Struthio camelus: one gene and its partner. The protein of the gene in region 1 interacts with the protein of each later gene in a pairwise test. Links are inferred from orthologs where the notes say so. Each region holds a gene or a part of one and is shown on either strand. Other genes may lie near its edges.

The links.
Region 2: the proteins of PLEKHA5 (region 1) and PDZD11 interact in binary tests that used the Homo sapiens proteins (3 or more experiments, as listed by UniProt). The two-hybrid records come from large-scale screens. The link is inferred for Struthio camelus from reciprocal best matches to the Homo sapiens genes PLEKHA5 and PDZD11.

The regions. Positions count from the first base shown.
Region 1 is NC_090942.1:73,291,084-73,299,025, forward strand, and holds the start of PLEKHA5 (pleckstrin homology domain-containing family A member 5), read left to right. Parts: upstream 1-4,583; 5' UTR 4,584-4,771; coding exon 4,772-4,869; intron 4,870-5,001; coding exon 5,002-5,078; intron 5,079-7,942.
Region 2 is NC_090952.1:27,506,116-27,514,411, forward strand, and holds the start of PDZD11 (PDZ domain-containing protein 11), read left to right. Parts: upstream 1-4,581; 5' UTR 4,582-4,643; coding exon 4,644-4,730; intron 4,731-4,822; coding exon 4,823-4,906; intron 4,907-5,373; coding exon 5,374-5,430; intron 5,431-5,765; coding exon 5,766-5,864; intron 5,865-6,371; coding exon 6,372-6,432; intron 6,433-7,266; coding exon 7,267-7,301; 3' UTR 7,302-8,296. Other genes in the region: chromosome-associated kinesin KIF4A, read right to left, coding at 623-742, 941-1,035, 1,286-1,452, 2,540-2,632, 2,930-3,120, 3,758-3,872, 4,044-4,166. UniProt on the Homo sapiens protein: Mediates docking of ADAM10 to zonula adherens by interacting with PLEKHA7 which is required for PLEKHA7 to interact with the ADAM10-binding protein TSPAN33.

The DNA of each region.
Region 1 (7,942 bases):
TGTTATATAAGTAATAAGATAATTCTGAATAAACTGAGACTTGTTGATCATCATCGGATGTGCTTGTCTCCCGTTGTTCTCCGACAAGACTGCAGCTTTACACTAACGGAGAACAGAACTACTGTGCCACTTGTACCAGTGACCCCTAGGAGAACTTGCAGCCTTCACAGCTACCGGACAGGACTCCTGAACTGTTATCAGGCTCTTTATTTATAGCAAAGGAGAGGCAGAGAATTCTACCAAAGGGAAGTGTCTGCAGAGACCATGTTTCTTTTTCTTATTTCCTCTAACCTAGGCTAATTGATTCTTGCGTCTACACAAAGATACCCTGACTCCAGAGAATGTCAACCAACATATTTGTTGATTCCTTCCCTCTGTCATTGAGGAACGCAGCCAAAAGGAGTGTTTCTGCTCTTCCTTGCCCATGTACTAGATCCAGTTATCAGGTGACCTCAGGATGAGTTGGATCACCTTACTGATCAGATGGAAGTGAATTGAGAGGTTTGTTGATTTATTTTCTATCAGATGAGCAAGCAGATTCAGTTCTCCCTGGGCTTTAATATTACCAGGGGGGTAAAAGAAGCTCGCCTTTCGGGATGGGGCAAAAAGGAACCCGCTCTTCAAAAGCAGCTCCCGTACTAGAATGTGCAACATAAAGCTGCACCCTCAGTGATGGTCTTTTCTTGCAATGTTAAACTTTATATTGTCTTGCTCATTAAATAGCATAAAAAGTTAAAAGTTATAGGCTCCATGAAATAACTTCCTCCTATTTGATTCACACTGACCGAAGACGGAGAATCAACCTTGGCAAACACAAAGCTGTGAACAGGTTTCAGGTGAGGACTGCAGTCCACTCTCAGTTTCAGACGCTACTGGCTTTGTCAAATGCTTTGCTTAGCCTTTTTTAAGTTTGTCTCATCATACGTTCATTGTCTCTTTGGGAGAGGTGTGGGTGGATTCACTGAGTCTGTTCAATGAATGCTCTCCCAATGGTGGCTTTTAATTAATCCTAGTTAAAGGGATGTATTGTTTTGTGGGCAGGGTTCCTTTGCCCCTGGAATTTTAAATATTTTGATTCTGTACACATTATTCATCTGAGATTTTTTTTTCAACTTAACATCAGTAAAATTTGTGCTTTTATGTCTTCCCTTGACCCCAAGAGAGTTGCTAGGAAATCTCCTGTCCTGGAGAGGTGAAAAGGAAGAAAAAAAGATAGGTGGGAATGGAAAACCTTGGGAAAGAGCTCAGAGGAGGCAGGTTTTAACTTTATCCCAGACTCTCAGGGGATGGCTGACAAATACACTGGTGGGAGGGCTCTCCTCTTATCCCAGACACACATAAAAAGCAATAACAATTTGCTTCACATGCTGCATCCACTTCCCATGAGTGACAACAGCAGCAACACATATATGAGCAGATATATCTGCCATACATGCAAAAGGTAGTGTACAGTTGTTTCAATGATGGCCACTGCTTGAACGTCCTAGTCCTCATCTCTTCTGCAAAAAGCTAGTGTTGGCCAGATGGGAGTATCTGAACGGATTTCACTGCGTCTTACTCAACTACTAAATCAGTTTCAAATTTGTACTCATTGGTTCATTTTTAAAATAAAAGGAATTATATGAAAGGTAAAATATGTAATACTTTAAATAATACAAAGAGTTGTTATGGGCACTTTCAAAACAGAGTTTCATTCCTCTTAGTGGAGACATAAGTGTACCTTTTTGTAAATAATGATTTTAAATATTTTTAAATAATTAATAATAATATAATACTCTTTAAAAATGCTCAGGCATTTATCTGACTGTAGAAAAATTGTGCTTAGTGAACTTTGGGAAAACCTAATGTGTGATTTGTTTTTATCAAACTTTCACACTAAGTTTGAGGCAAAAGTTTTAACTATGGATCCAAAAGCAGTCTTCAGAAAGAAAAGCTGTTAACCTCAGTAGCACCAGCCTGTGCAAATGATGCAAATATGTTTTCACTCATGCTATTTGCAATTCATGAACTCCATTCCACAAAATGATAAAACCCAGGGCTCCTAGATATCAATGTGAGTTCATGGTGCATGGCATCTTGCAGGATTAATTCCGGCAAATACAGTTGTAATGTGTCCTCCATATGTTCCAAAACTACTAATATCAGATTTTATTCAATGACTGTTCAACGTAAGAGATATAAGAGTCCTTGAACAATGGAGTAGAACCAAGATTTTCCATCATTCTCTGGATGAGCTTCCTGTTCATGAGACTAGCAAGTCATGTTACCTCCAGATAGCCCATTAATTGTATTTGCAAAGTATGACTTCAGCAGGGAGAGGAGGTGCATCTTCAGGGTGGTAGGATAGTCTCAGCTTCAGAATACCTTATAGCTATGAGCTAAAGCATTTTCCTGGGAAGAGTGACATGGATCTAAAAACCCTTTCTCCTTCTAGCTGAAGAGGTTTGCTTGGTTCTCGGGGATGACAGAAACTAATTCCTTGTAATTCCTTGTTAGGCATAGCCCGAATGCACCTAGTTCATCAGGCCTCTGTGGGAGATCTCTGCAGAGGAACGTCTTGCCTGGGAATCCAGCTAGGCTTTGACACATTTAGGCTCTTGGTGTTACCGGGATGGCAACAATTCTAAACATACGCAAAACAGAAACGAGGCTGCAAGGAAAGGTACTGGCAAAATTCAGTTGCCTAAGGAAGAAGCTTGGCAAAGCACATGCTGGGATTAAGCAGGATTTATGCAGCCAAATCCAACTTCAAATGCCTAACTGATTTTATGGATCTGAGCCAATATAGGTCTAGCTGTGCTGTATGTCCTTCTCTGCTAAAGAAGAAAACTGACTCTGCATGGTGGAAGGTATACACTGTTCTCAAGATCGTAAGCATTTGCTCTGGCTATGACGCACGAGGAAGAAACGAGCAGGGTATAACTACCTCAGGAGCCCAAAATGCATGTGGTTTCCCCCATGCTGTTGCCAGGCAGCTTTCCACAGCCCGTCAGTGGGAGCCATTATTCACTTTTACTCATCATCTAAAGGCTCTTGCTCTTAGAAGGGAAGGGAGCTGTTTATAGGATAACTTGTGCTTTCTCTATTATATCTTTTCCAGGTAGTCTATAAATCTCAGATGCTGTCAGTGGTAAGTGAAAATGAGGAGTATTGTTGGACAGAGAGGAACTCTTATCTTACATCCAGTTACAAAAAGATAACTAAATTTGCTCTCATGTTCGCTGCTTTCCAGGTCTGAAATATCTTGTGTAGGTCAACTGTGTTCTAAGGCTTTGCCCACAAAGCCTTGGTGAGGACTAAGTCACATAGTAACTTGTTTTGTTGTACTTCATTTTTCAGAAGATGTGCATAATGGGGAGCAAGTGGAGGACAGCTGCTGTGCAGAATACCGTCAGCTGTGAATTTCAAATTTTTTGGTGGATACAGGACTAGTAACAGATTTCCCAGGTTTACCCTCATTTAGAATGTGGTTTTGTAAGGGAAGCTTCCCTTAGAAAGGTGATGGCCACAGCAGTTTCAATAATTTACATTTGTGTTTGTAACTCTAATTAAGGGTGTGCATAGCTATGTATAAATGCACATTCAATCAGATTATTCATGTGAATAAAAGCCTGTCATATCCTTGGTATCTTTTAGAGGAAAGGCAGTCAGTTCAAGAAATGGTGTTGCTTATATCAAAAGAAAACCATGGCATCTCTTTACTCTTGCTTCTGAAGTCTACATGTTCACATGGGAAATAAAAAAAATCCTGAAGCTGAGAGTACAAGAAGAGCGTACACACCCCTGGAGGAAATTCGACAAAAGTTTTAATTTCCTGTAGCAATGCGTGTCTTTTAGAGACCCAACGGGAGATTAACAGCTATGGTGTCTCACATTTGTACTTTAAAACGCTGAGATTTGCGATGCATGTAAGCACTTCCGCGGGGGAAGGCAGGGCCCGCCGATGGTCAAGAAACTGATCCCAGATTCAAGAAGTGCGGGATTCATTTCCTGCAGAGATGAAGTGCTTTTTTTTTTTTTTCCTCTCTCTCTCGCTCTCTCCCTTTTGGCTTTACCTCTGGATCTGCTAAACAGACATGCCTGTGTCAGTCCCCGCTGCAAGGTCTCGGGGCGGGGGGGGGGGGAAGGAGGCGGGAACCACCCGACCTTCCCCCACGACAAGCAGCGCCCCCCTCGCGGGCCGCGACCGTTACGGAGCGCGACCGTTACGGAGCGCGCCCGCCCTCCCCGCCCGGCTCGCGCCCCTGGCACGACCGTTGCCGCTCGGGCCCCGGCTGCAGCCCGCGCCTTCCTTGCGGCTGCCTCCGCCGCGCGGGACGGTCCGGCCAGCCGCCGAGGGACTCGGCTTCCCCCGCGAGGGCCCGGGGGGGTTGGAGGGATGCTGCCCGGCGCGGCCCCTTCCCTCCCCTCCCCTGCCCGAGCTCCAGGTCCTCCCCGCCGCCTGCCGCCCGCCCCGCCCCAACGGCCGGCGCCGTGCCGAGCGGCGGCGCTGGAGCAGGCGGCGCGCCCCCGCGGGCACCGAGCCCGGCAGCTGCGCGCGCCCCCGTCGGCGGGCGGGGCGGGGCGGGGCCGGGGCCGGGGGCGGGGCAGTGAGAGGGGCCTCGCCACTCCCGCCGCGCTCGGCTCCCTCCCCCTTCCCCAAGGTGCTGGCCGCGGCGGCGACGGGGACGCGCTCGCTCGTGCCCGCGGCCCTCCCTCCCTCCCTCCCTCCCTCCCCGCCCGCCCGTTCCCCTCCGCTCTCCCCGGCTGCGCGGGTGGCGGCGGCTCGGCCATGGCGGCGCCGGCGGAGCTGAGCGTGGAGCGGTTGCGGGCGCTGCCCGGCAGCTGGAGTTATGGGATCAGCCAGGGCGGCCGCGTCTTCTTCATCAAGTGAGTGCGGGGCCGGCGAGGAGGGGAGCGGAGCGGAGCGGGGCCGGGCGGGGCGTGCGGGGGGAGGCGGTGGCGGTGGCGCCGTGCCGTGCCTGCCTGACTCGGTCCGTGTGTGTGTGTGTGTCCCCGCAGCGAGGAGGCGAAGAGCACGACCTGGCTGCACCCGCTCACCGGAGAGGCCGTGATTACCGGGCACCGCCGCAGCGCAGGTAAGAGCCGCGCCCGGGGACCGAGGGGCGGCTTGGGCGGGCAGGCGGGAGCCCCCGGCTCGGCCCGACCCGGCCCGGCCCGGCTCGGCTCGGCCGCCTCCTCCCCCGCCGCTCTCCCCGGGGGCTCGCCGGGCCCGGCGGCCTCGTCGCCTCCCGCCACGGGTCCCTGTCCGCCCGGCGGGAGCCCCCTGGCGCTGGCAGTGCCGGCAGCCGCTGGCCCCCCGCGCCCCGAGCCCGCCTTCGTGCCACTGCGGTCACCCCGGGCAACTCCGCATCCCGCTTTTCCCGCTGTCCCCTCACTTCTCGCAGTTGTTTGTCCATGGGTTGAGCAAGAATGAAGTGACGGTGCAGCCTTGCGTGTCTGGCTGGGCATTAATGTGTTCCTCATCTCTTTCTTAAAATGATTTCCTTTCCCCCCTGTGCTGTGTAGTCTCTTCTTTTTCTGTTGCTCTTTTCTGGTTGCCTTATATCACCCCGATAATGTTGTGTCGTTGCCATTAGAAGCTCCTTATTTCTCTCATGCTTTTTACAGGTTACCCAGGTTATTCACCTACACAGCATCCTTTCTCATTTCAGCTTTAAACCACGCATTTTAATTCTGTTTCCAGCAATATGTAGATATAACCATGATAGGTATATTAGAGATGAGCAGGCTGATTCCACTAAGCGTAGTCACCTAGAAACCTTCTTCCTCTCTCTACTTCCATCTAGGCTGAGAGTGTGGGTGGTTTCTAAGTGACTGAGAGAGGTGGAATAGGTAGGAGGAAAAGAGACTGGAACGTTAGGAATAACTTGGAGGAGGGTGGAATCAGTTGTCTTTGCTACTGCTGTTTGTTCCAGTCTGGAGAAGTAGCAGCAGGAGGTGCTGGAGGAGGAGGAGGATTTACAGCAGACACTCCGGAGACCCAGAGCTAGACTCCGACTGCTGGAGCTGCACACAGGCTGCCTATGCCACTGGGAGGTGGTGGAGCATAGTTATAAGTGCAGTTGTTTCTGTGTGTGTAATCACTTGGATAATCACAGGAAAATCTGCAACTGACTATATCAGATGATTTACTTTTTACATTTGGTTAATACTTATGCATAAAGAAATTATAAACAGTCTTTTAGAAAACTGTGGGCATCTTTCGTTTGTGAGGTGAGAACAGTTTGAAGAGCATAGATTTCTGGCTATTGCAACTTTACAATTTTATCTGCAGTGAAGGGCTGTAGCTTGTAAAAAGTCATTGAAAGCCAGGAAATAGAACTACTGATTGGGATTAGGCTCTTCTTTTCCCTTTTTTTTTCCCTCAGATTAATTGAGCAGCTGTCCTTCATCTTCAATGATAGGCATGGGGGCAGATGTATGTTAGGTGCTTTGCTTGCTGGACATTAACATTAGCTGTGTATTCATTTCTCTTTCAAGTTGGTACCACTGGCTCTGCTGGCTGATGGTTATTTCTCAGTAATTTTCTAAATCTCTTATTCATTCCTGGCACTAAGTGCCTTTGAAAGGAAATACAGTTAGGAGGGTTATTATCAAGTACATTAAACTTAGCTCCGAACACTGAGTGAGGTATGACCTTATATGTACTGATAATGATTTGTAGATCGGACATTGAAGCATCTACCAAACAAACCCATTTCTGTTTTTTTCCTCTTTCATGTGTATGTTAATTAATCTCCCAATATAATCTAACAGATTAATTCTGGGCTTTATATCTTGTTTTATTCTGGCCATTGTTTTGGAACCTAGTCAAAATATGTTTATATCAAGAGAAATTTGGAATGAATAATGCTTCTTTTGAAAATGTATATTATTATAAGGCTCTTTATTAAATAATACTATGAGTATTTACTGGACTATGTGGAAAGCTTTGTCGTCCTTTTAGAACTGAAGTGCTTCTCATTCTTTGAGATATTCCGTCCTAGAAAGGTATTCTTTCTGCAAAGTTCATATAGCAGTCATAAATACTTCTGCTAGAGAGACTTCCTGTTTGCTGTACTTTGTCCTGTGCTGCTACCAAAAGACACCTTGATTTCCTCCCTCCCCACTCCCCTTTTAGAGAAGATAGCAGTGAAATAAAAAAGGCAGCCAGAGCAAATCAGTAAACCAGAAAAATCACATAGTCCAGACTGAGTAGTTTTCCCCTTTTAAGTGGGGAAATATATTGTTGCTTTTATAATTAGGTGAGTGAGTCCTACATATGAATTACTGTTTTTTATGAACTGAGACACACTTTTAAAGGCAGTGATGTGTCCAGCATCTTCAGAGCTTCCATTACTTCGGGAATCTGTTAACTGAAAGTAACAAACCATTGGTTTCTTCCATGGAGATTTATTTCTTTTATAGGTGAGCTCCTGACTCTTAAGACTGGTACTCAGCAGAGAAGGAAAAAAAGTGTACACACTTCCTCCACCAGCTTTGCAGTGAAAATAATTTTCATATAAAATTGAATAGAGTTGTAAACGCTTCAGGAACACTTGTTAGTCACATCAGTGGTGGAATTACGGCTAGTACAAGATAGCTTTGTGGTGTAGTTGGTATCATGCGTGTTAAGATGCTTGTGACTTGCATGTAACGTAAACTCAGTAAATTGGTTATGTTTAGATCTCTGTATCTATCAAGTAATTTGATGCTACTGAAATTTGAAGCAGAAGGAACTGATGATGATCATAATTTCTAATTACTGGTCAAAGGAAGGAACATTGTTAAACAAGGACACGCTTAAAACCTTATTGTTGTTTTTACTTGAGACGGAGAAATTCAAATCAGGTTTTCATCATGTTGTTTCTCTTTAGATTACAGAGTTGAAGTTGAAAGTCTTTTGAGCCAACTTTAAAGTGTATGTTAATAGGACTAAGTGCTTTCTATATGTAGCAAA
Region 2 (8,296 bases), on another chromosome or scaffold:
ATCTGAAACACTGAGAAGTCTAGCTTTTGGTAGCAATTTATTTAACTATTGGAAAACAAACAAATAAAAAAAATCCATTAAGTTGCGTTATTATGGCTATGCCCATATTACAATATTAAGACTAAGCTATAGAAAAGATCATCGCAAAGACTGAAAAATAAGTACTATAAAGAACAGAGATGCAGACTAAGAAATCAAACCACAAAGGTATGAAGAGCACAGTTAAGGCACAGACAGCCTGAGCTTCTTTCTGGCTGTGATATCCTCCAGTAAGTGGCTACAATCAGGATAAAATAACAGGCCCTGTTTCCAGGCTAAACTTCTCAACTTCTTTCTCCCTATCACAAAAGTTGCACTAAATTTAAGATGTTTCCTCCCATCACAGAGGAACTGCAAGAGTGGGACTTATGTGAGCGCCTCTCTCCGTGCAATTGTAACCTAAGAGTACAGAAAAGGTCTAGCTACAGTGAGAAGAGCAATGAAATCAAAAAATACAATCACATTGTCAGCAGCAGCCTCCCACTTCAGAATGCGGCTGTATGGCTTCCAGTATTTTTTTTTTAATACTTTGTTATTTAAAACAAACTGTAGATTTAGGCTTCAACCGTTATCTGGATCTCACCTTGCAGCAGTCTCGTTAACTTTGAGTCTCTGTAGGGGACAAAACCACCCTTTTTATTTTCATCACCAAGAGCACTAATTACATTCCCCAGGCAGAGAAGACCTCTGTTAATATTGATACCTGCAAACAAACAGACGACAATGAGTAGAGCTACCTCAATAGCTAGAAATTGGTTATTTCCTTGAGTTTTATAAAACGCAAAAAGGTAAAAAATGCATTATACTTAAAGAAACTGCTTTGCTTCTTCTAACAAGAACTCCATGTACAAGCTCAAAAGCAGTAAGAAACACAAGCTATACCTGTTCTTCATCTACTGACCTTCTTTTAGTCGGTCTCCCTCAGCCTTGGTCTTCTTTTGTCTCTCAGATCCAGCAAGATCAACCAGGTGTAGCTTGGAGCGAAAACTGCTGTTCCTGTGGCAGAAATAGAATATTTTACTCTCTCAGGTAAACATGCAGCTAGGAACAGAGCAGTCTGGCGGTTAGTACAGTTGAGCTACTGGGCTGAAAAGTGCCGTTCAAAATAAAGGAACAGCAAATAAAGGAACTACCTCAACTGTAGCTGAGCTGAGTTCATCTAAGACTAAGAGAACAACAGACTATGAAATTTGCAGTAAGCCTGACTCCTAACTGCTGCTAGGAGTAGCAGCGCTGTCACACTTACTTGTCATTTTTCTTCTTCTGATCAACGGAAATGGTGAAGATGGCATGTGACCGGGAGGACTGGGAGTTCATTGCTGTGGAGGCCACCGTTCTGGAATTGTTTCCTTGCTCTAGGCAGGATACAGTGTCTTGGGCACAGGCGACGCTTCTTTCTGTTAACCCTATAATCTGTATCCGGGAAGAAAGTATCATTTATCCTCTCTTTCCTCTTCACCCCTAATTTACTGCTTCACAAAAATTCTCTCATCTCAGACTACAGCTATTGAAATGAAGTCTCTGAACATACACATTCGCACAAAGCTAAGTCTCACTTTAGGGGAGAGGGTTAGTATGGATCCCCCAGCAAAAATTTGTTCTGAACTTCACGTCAGTAACTTGTAAATTACATCACCTCTTTCTCATCTCACTCCGGCATGCACACACCAAGCTCTTCTACGCCTGATAGACAGCTGGGCAATGGGTTGGACACAGGACTCCTCAGTACTCCACAGAGGAGCCCATAACAGTCCTCGGATATCCTCTGGCCCAGCTGGTAGCACAGCATGCATCTGGGGACTGAAAGTTGTGCCAACCCCAGGCAGAGGAAAGGGAGACTGATTGATGGGGGTGGGGGAATTGGAGAAAAAGAGTAAAAGGCAGGCAGGTATTAGGGACATAAAGGACAGAAGGGACTGAGTAGTAGGGACTGGTCTTTGTTCTTGGTAAGACTGAGCTTTCCCCAAATGGCCTGTCTCCCTGGAAAGCGATGCCGCTACTAACAGCTTAATTACCAAACAAGCACGCAGAGCAAGCAGCAGCATGAGGTTTTTCTGCATTACACTATAAACACACTTCTACAGGAAACTGTTAAAAGAATGAGTTAGTCATTTGAATAGTTTCTGTCAGGATCCTTTTGTTACACATCACTTGGCCAAACTGAAGAGCACAACTGCAACAGTGTAATTGGCTTAGAGGACATGAAGTACATTCCCAGATACTCACCTAAATCAGTCTCAAGAAGAGCCAAAAGACTTGCAAATGCCTTTGTAATGAATATCTAACATCTTCTCTACATTTTGAGAAACATTAAATGCTCACCAACAGGTCAATTTTGAGAAGAGCTAGCAGTTGTGGTGATTTTATAGGCATATGTTTATAAAGTGAGCAGTGCGAGAACAGTCCTCAAGAAGACAGACAACTGTTTTATTGAAACATTTGTCCCTAGCCATACCGCTTATGCGCCCGTTACATATCCATTTCTAACAGGACAACAGACCTTTATTCCTTCTTTAGGATCTTCCCGGATACTGATTTGAGAAGACCGTTCTCTAGATGGGCAGAGCAGGTCTAGAATATCTTCGTTGTAGATCTGAAAAGATCAGAACAGCAGCTCAGACTTAGCAGCCTTGCAAGAAAAGAGCTTGCATAAAGAACGATGTACAACTAGGCTCAGATCAGGGCTAGCTTTGCATGAGACTGTACCATTTTACCTTTAGTGAGAGGTAAACAGGATTTAGAATTCAGATGCTGAAGATAAGACCTTATATGATCTTAAGTTTTGATTTCACAAACTCCTAATACCTGAAGGAGGCAGCTTCATTAAGGCTCACTTTGTTTACAACTCACAACTCTGTAATATTTTGAAAAAAATCAAAACAACTTTTACCTCTAAATAGGAGACTTTGAGGACGAACTCCCAATCCTGCCTCTGCTCCTTTTCTTTAAATAGCAGTTTGATTACCCGAGGGATAACCCCCACGCTAGGCTCATGCTCTTGATTGGCAGTGTAGGTACCTCCCATGGAGTACGTTTTTCCAGATCCTGTCTGTCCGTAGGCTAACACAGTAGCATTATACCCTTCAGAAATAAAGAAGGCCTAGATCAGAAAGTCAGGTGGAAACGAGCAGAAACTTTGACAAATTAAGTGGCATTCCAGTAAAAGCATCCTTCCAAAAAAGGACTGCCACTCACCATCAGTTTACACAGCCTTGACCCACAGGTCACAGTTAACAACATCAAGGGAGAAAGCCAATGAAAAACACCCCAAAGCATAGATAATTTTATCTATCTATCTATCTATCTTTTTAAGGACAGCTCTGTTGCTTTAACTAGAGAGGGTCGTAGATATTCTGTCATTCCAACTCCACTCCAGCACCAGTAATGCTTTCCAGTATAGGATGCTTATCAGCTCATCATGTTATTCTTAATAAATCTCTCCTGCCTTAACATCTTCAAGAACCAAAAATGACCCAATGAACATGAATATGTCATCTTGAGAGCCCAAGGGAAGCCTACAGCTTGTAAACAGGCAAGATCTGGCACTTCTCACCCCAGGCTGGAGCCAGTGCCTAGAGAACAAAGAATTTTAGTTTCTGGGAAGATGCAAGAAGAAAGGACTCAGAACGGAGAGCTAAACAGCCTCTTCTTTCACACATCTGAACCCACTAGGACTCCCAGTGCTTTAAAACAGAGTCGGAATTCAGTTATTACAAACCTTTGAAGATGCCCCGTATGAGAGGGGCAACGGCCGTGTTGAACACCTCCTCTTGCTCAACAGAAGGATCAAACACGTAGTCATATGTGAATGATTTATCGTTGCCTACAATCACCTACAAAGGAGATGTAAGCGAACAGCATTGACTGCACTGCTGTGGTAACCAGAGGCTGCATTCAGCATGGAAATACATAGGTGTATATAACTATATAGAGATATCTAGAGGTACGTATATGTGGTTACACGCAAGGCTGACTCTTCAAGCACAGCAGGCCGGCTCCCTTACCTGCGGCTCCCCCGGAACGAAGGAAAGGCACATCTGGCACCCTTCATCCGTCTCCTTCGGCACCAAGGGCCGGCAGCGCAGCGCCACGCGCACGGGGATCACCTTGTCATCTTCTCTCACCATTTTCAGTTACGCGGGCTGCCCTGAGGACGAGCAGAGCGGGGTCAGGCTCCCCCAGGAGCAGCGCCCGCCGCTGCTCCTGCGACAGTGGCACGGCCCCCTCAGCGTCGGGCCGCATGAGGCCTAGCGCTGAGGCGCGGGAGCCCCGCTACGAGCCCCGCAGCCTCCCGACCGCAGCGCTAGGCCCAGACTCCCTAGGGGAGCCGGGGAAGGAGGGAGGGGGGGAGATCCGCAGCCCTCCCCGCACCCCGCGCAGCCGAGCCCCGGGGCCGCCTCACGGCGCCGGCCCGCACCCACCTGCCGCCGCCGGCCGTTGGGATGGCGGCGCCGCAACGGTCAACATTCAAACCGGCGGCGGCGCGGGGCGCCCGCCAATGGCAGCGCGGGGCGTCACGGCGCGCGCGCGCGGGGCGGGGCGGGGCGGGGCGAGCGCGGCGCGGGGCGGGTGACGCAGCGCGGGCGCTGAGGCGGCGCGGCAGCATGGAGGCGCGGCTGCCCTACGACGACTACCCGGTGGTCTTCCTGCCGCCCTACGAGAGCCCGCCCGCCTGGGTGCCGCCGCACGAGGTGAGCCCGGGCGGGCGGGCGGGCGGGCGACGGGCTCGGGCCCCCGGCGGCGGCTGGGGGCCCGCGGCCGCTCACGGCGCCTTGTCTTGCAGCGGGTTTATCACCCCGACTACAACAACGAGCTGACGCAGTTCTTGCCCCGCACCATCGTCCTCAAGAAGCCCCCCGGGGCGCAGGTGAGCCTCCCTCCGCTTTTTCCCCCCCCCCCTCCTCTTCCCTGTGCCTGGCCAAAACGGGGGGACCCGCGGAGGAGCGAGAGGATGGCAGCGGCCGACTGAGGCCGAAGGCAGCCCCAGGAGGTCAGAGAGGCACCGCTGCTTTCCTGCTCTTACTACTTCGGGGCGGGGAGGGGAGGGGGAAGCCTTGCTGCTGCCCTTCTGGGAAGGGCTGTGCTGTAAAGGGTGGGGGGGAGCTTGGTGGGTTAGGCAAAGAACTGCAATAACTTGTGACATGGAGCCACTCAGGGACAGGGAGCAGGGGCAAGCCCTCAAGGTGGGATGGCCGTAGAGGTCCGCGGAGAGGGACTGTGCTTGCAGCTCCCTAGGCGATCACTACAGCTGTTAACACCTTTGGTCCATCTAGAAGAGATGCATGAGCAAAGGGGGGTGGTTACACTTCACTGCTAACCTGGTTTCTCGTACAGCTGGGCTTCAACATCCGAGGAGGAAAGGCCTCGCAGCTGGGGATCTTCATCTCTAAGGTGTGTCTGTCCTTCCGCCATTCCCTCCCCATGTTCCGTCTGTTCCCTTGGGGGTTGCAGAGCCGGCTGGGCGTGTATGGAGACTGACCTGCCTCTTGCACGCACAGCTCAGCTGTGAGCTTCTACTTGCCAACAAGGAGATGATCTCACACCCTTTCCTTTCCTGTCCCCGACCCATGACTTGCTGGTGCAGTGCAGTCCTCATGCTCTCTCCATCCCCTCCTAGACTCATGTATAAGTGCACTGGGCACAGGCACTGTGGAGAGGCTCTCTGGGGCTGGGATGTGTGCTGAGGGGAGCCGCAGAGGGTCAGTGCTGCTGTGTCTGCTCCTCAGGTGATCCCCGACTCAGATGCACATAGAGCTGGGCTGCAGGAAGGGGACCAGGTACTTTCAGTGAACGATGTGGATTTCCAGGACATTGAGCACAGCAAGGTGAGTGCTCCTGCTCTCCAGCTGCTGGAGCAGGGACAGGGCTTGGCCCAGGCCCCAGCATGCTCTCACCTCCTGAGCAGGAGAACAAAGGCAATGCATGAGCCTACCTTCTCCTTCGGCCCTCTCAGCCTGCACCAACTCAGGACCTAAATGGCAACCTGTCACCATTGTCTAACAGTTAGGATGAGTGTGAGGCAAGCACCTAGATACCTTCGTTGACAACATCAGTAATCCTTTCTCTGTAATTCCCATCCCACACACCCCATATGTAGATCAGGGAAAATAATTCACAACACAAAGGGCATATATCTAATTTTAAAGAAAACACCCTTGCTGATGAGGAAGAGCAGAGGAACATTAACCTGGGGGGCCACAAGTCCCAGTGTTCCTCCGGAACTCTGATATCAGACCCTGTGCAAAGCAAGCTGATGCACTGCATAGCTAATACATTGCTCTTACCTGTCCTCTCACTCAGTCTGGTCACTGAGCAACTCTTTTTGCTTTCAGGCTGTGGAGATCCTGAAGACTGCCCGTGAAATCACCATGCGCGTACGTTACTTCCCCTACAGTAAGTGCCTGCTAGCTTTTGAGTGCAGTGGGCCAGCTGTATTTCTCCCTGGGAAGCAGGCTGTCATGCATCCTTGCCAATTCCACATAAACTTAGCTATTTTGAGTCTAAAGTCATATGCAGCATCAAACTAGCAGCCTGCAAATCAGAAAGGGGGTTAAATTTTGATTTGGGGTTGAGGACAGCTACCCAATCAAAACAGTAAGGAAGGGCTTCAGCTACCCACCTGCAAACTTGTAGAGTAGGGCTGAGCAAAGCAATGCTAAAAGCTGGGATGACTGCTTAGGAAAGTGTTAATTTTGGAGCTGCAGAAGGAGCTACTTATCCTTAAATAACACAGGAATTGGTTCAGTCACTAGTAGAACCATGCTGATGGTGGACACCGCTTGTAGTTTTATCCCTTTCTATGAATGTTTAAATTTTGTCAGAGGGAATGACCAAATTATTAACTCCAGGTTTCTGCACCTATAAAGCTTGGCAGTAGGCAGAGGGAGCAGGAAAAAAGTCAAGTCGTCAAGCCAAACAAGCATTCTTCATAAAAATGGAAATTGACCCTTGAATGAAAGTGAAAAGAGTAAAAGTGTGGAGCAAGGGAAGAGAGGACTTTAAAAAACACTTTTCTTATAAATGCTTTAAAAAAACTTGAAATGACGGGGGGAGATGTCAGCATACTATTTTAAAGCCAGCTGCTATCCAGGAGAGTAGCAAGCACTGCATCTATTTAAGAAGGCGTACACAGAATTCATGTTTTCCTCTAGCATTTTGGCTAACTTCCCCCACCATCCGTGACCACTTCTCCTGCCCTTTCAGCCTTGCTCTCTCTTTACCTTCCAGATTATCAGAGACAGAAGGAAAGAACTGTTCACTAGTGAACAGCTGCCTGCTGGGGCCTCTCTGGAGTGGCTGTCCTGCAAGAGCCTCCACTAACCTTTCCTCAATATCCAAGATGACACATCAAGTCTCAGCTGTCACTGGAGGTACGACTGTCCTGTTGGCTGCACAGGCATCAGTTCTGCTTCCTGCTTGGAGCGACACTACAGAGTCTTAATTATCTGGAAGATGAATGGGGCTTTAGTCTGCACTCCTTGAATTAGTTTTTAAAACAAGCTGCTGGTGCTGACATGGAAGTGGGTACTGGAGGGCAGCTTTCTCTTGCAAAATCTGTATTTCTAATCTAGTAGGACTTATTTTCAAAGCGTGCTCTGCTGGTTCTGGATCCAGCCCTTGTTTCTAAGGTGTGAGGCCAAGAATGTCCAAGCGTGCTCAAGCAGAGCATGGCTGTAGTTTCCAAGGGATCAGCTGGTTCGTTTCCTTTCCGGTGACACAAAATCCTTTCCCTCTCCAGTGTCCAAGCTCTGCTCTAGACTACTGGGTTTGCTGGGCATTCAAGGAAGAAGAGTAAAATCCAGTCACACTCAAAGCATATCTATAGCGGTTCTGCACTGCTCTGCCAAGGCATTGTGTTTGTACTACTTTGGTGCTTAGCAGCCCCCACATAACTGGGCCAAGATGCTTGGAGCATGTTTCTAGGCTGTCTGCTGTCAGCACTTGGTGAGGTTCCTTCTGATGCACTGCTTGTGTGTTTAAGGGTTTCACCTGCTGCAGCTGCCCCCTTCACTTAGTACAGCCTTGTCTGTGCCTTTCACAATCACAACTCCCTGCCACATGGGGGGGAAATTCATACTCCTCCCTTTCCCTGCTCCTTACACATCTTATCTCCTGCTGGGGTGATTCACCCACCTGCTATTGAGTTTGGTTGGATGGTGGCTGTTCCACACAGAAAAGAAAAAGGCTGCTGCGCTCTTTGCTGGAAGAGCACAGATGAAAGAATATACTAGCTATCAGGAAAGCCGGGTGCAAATGC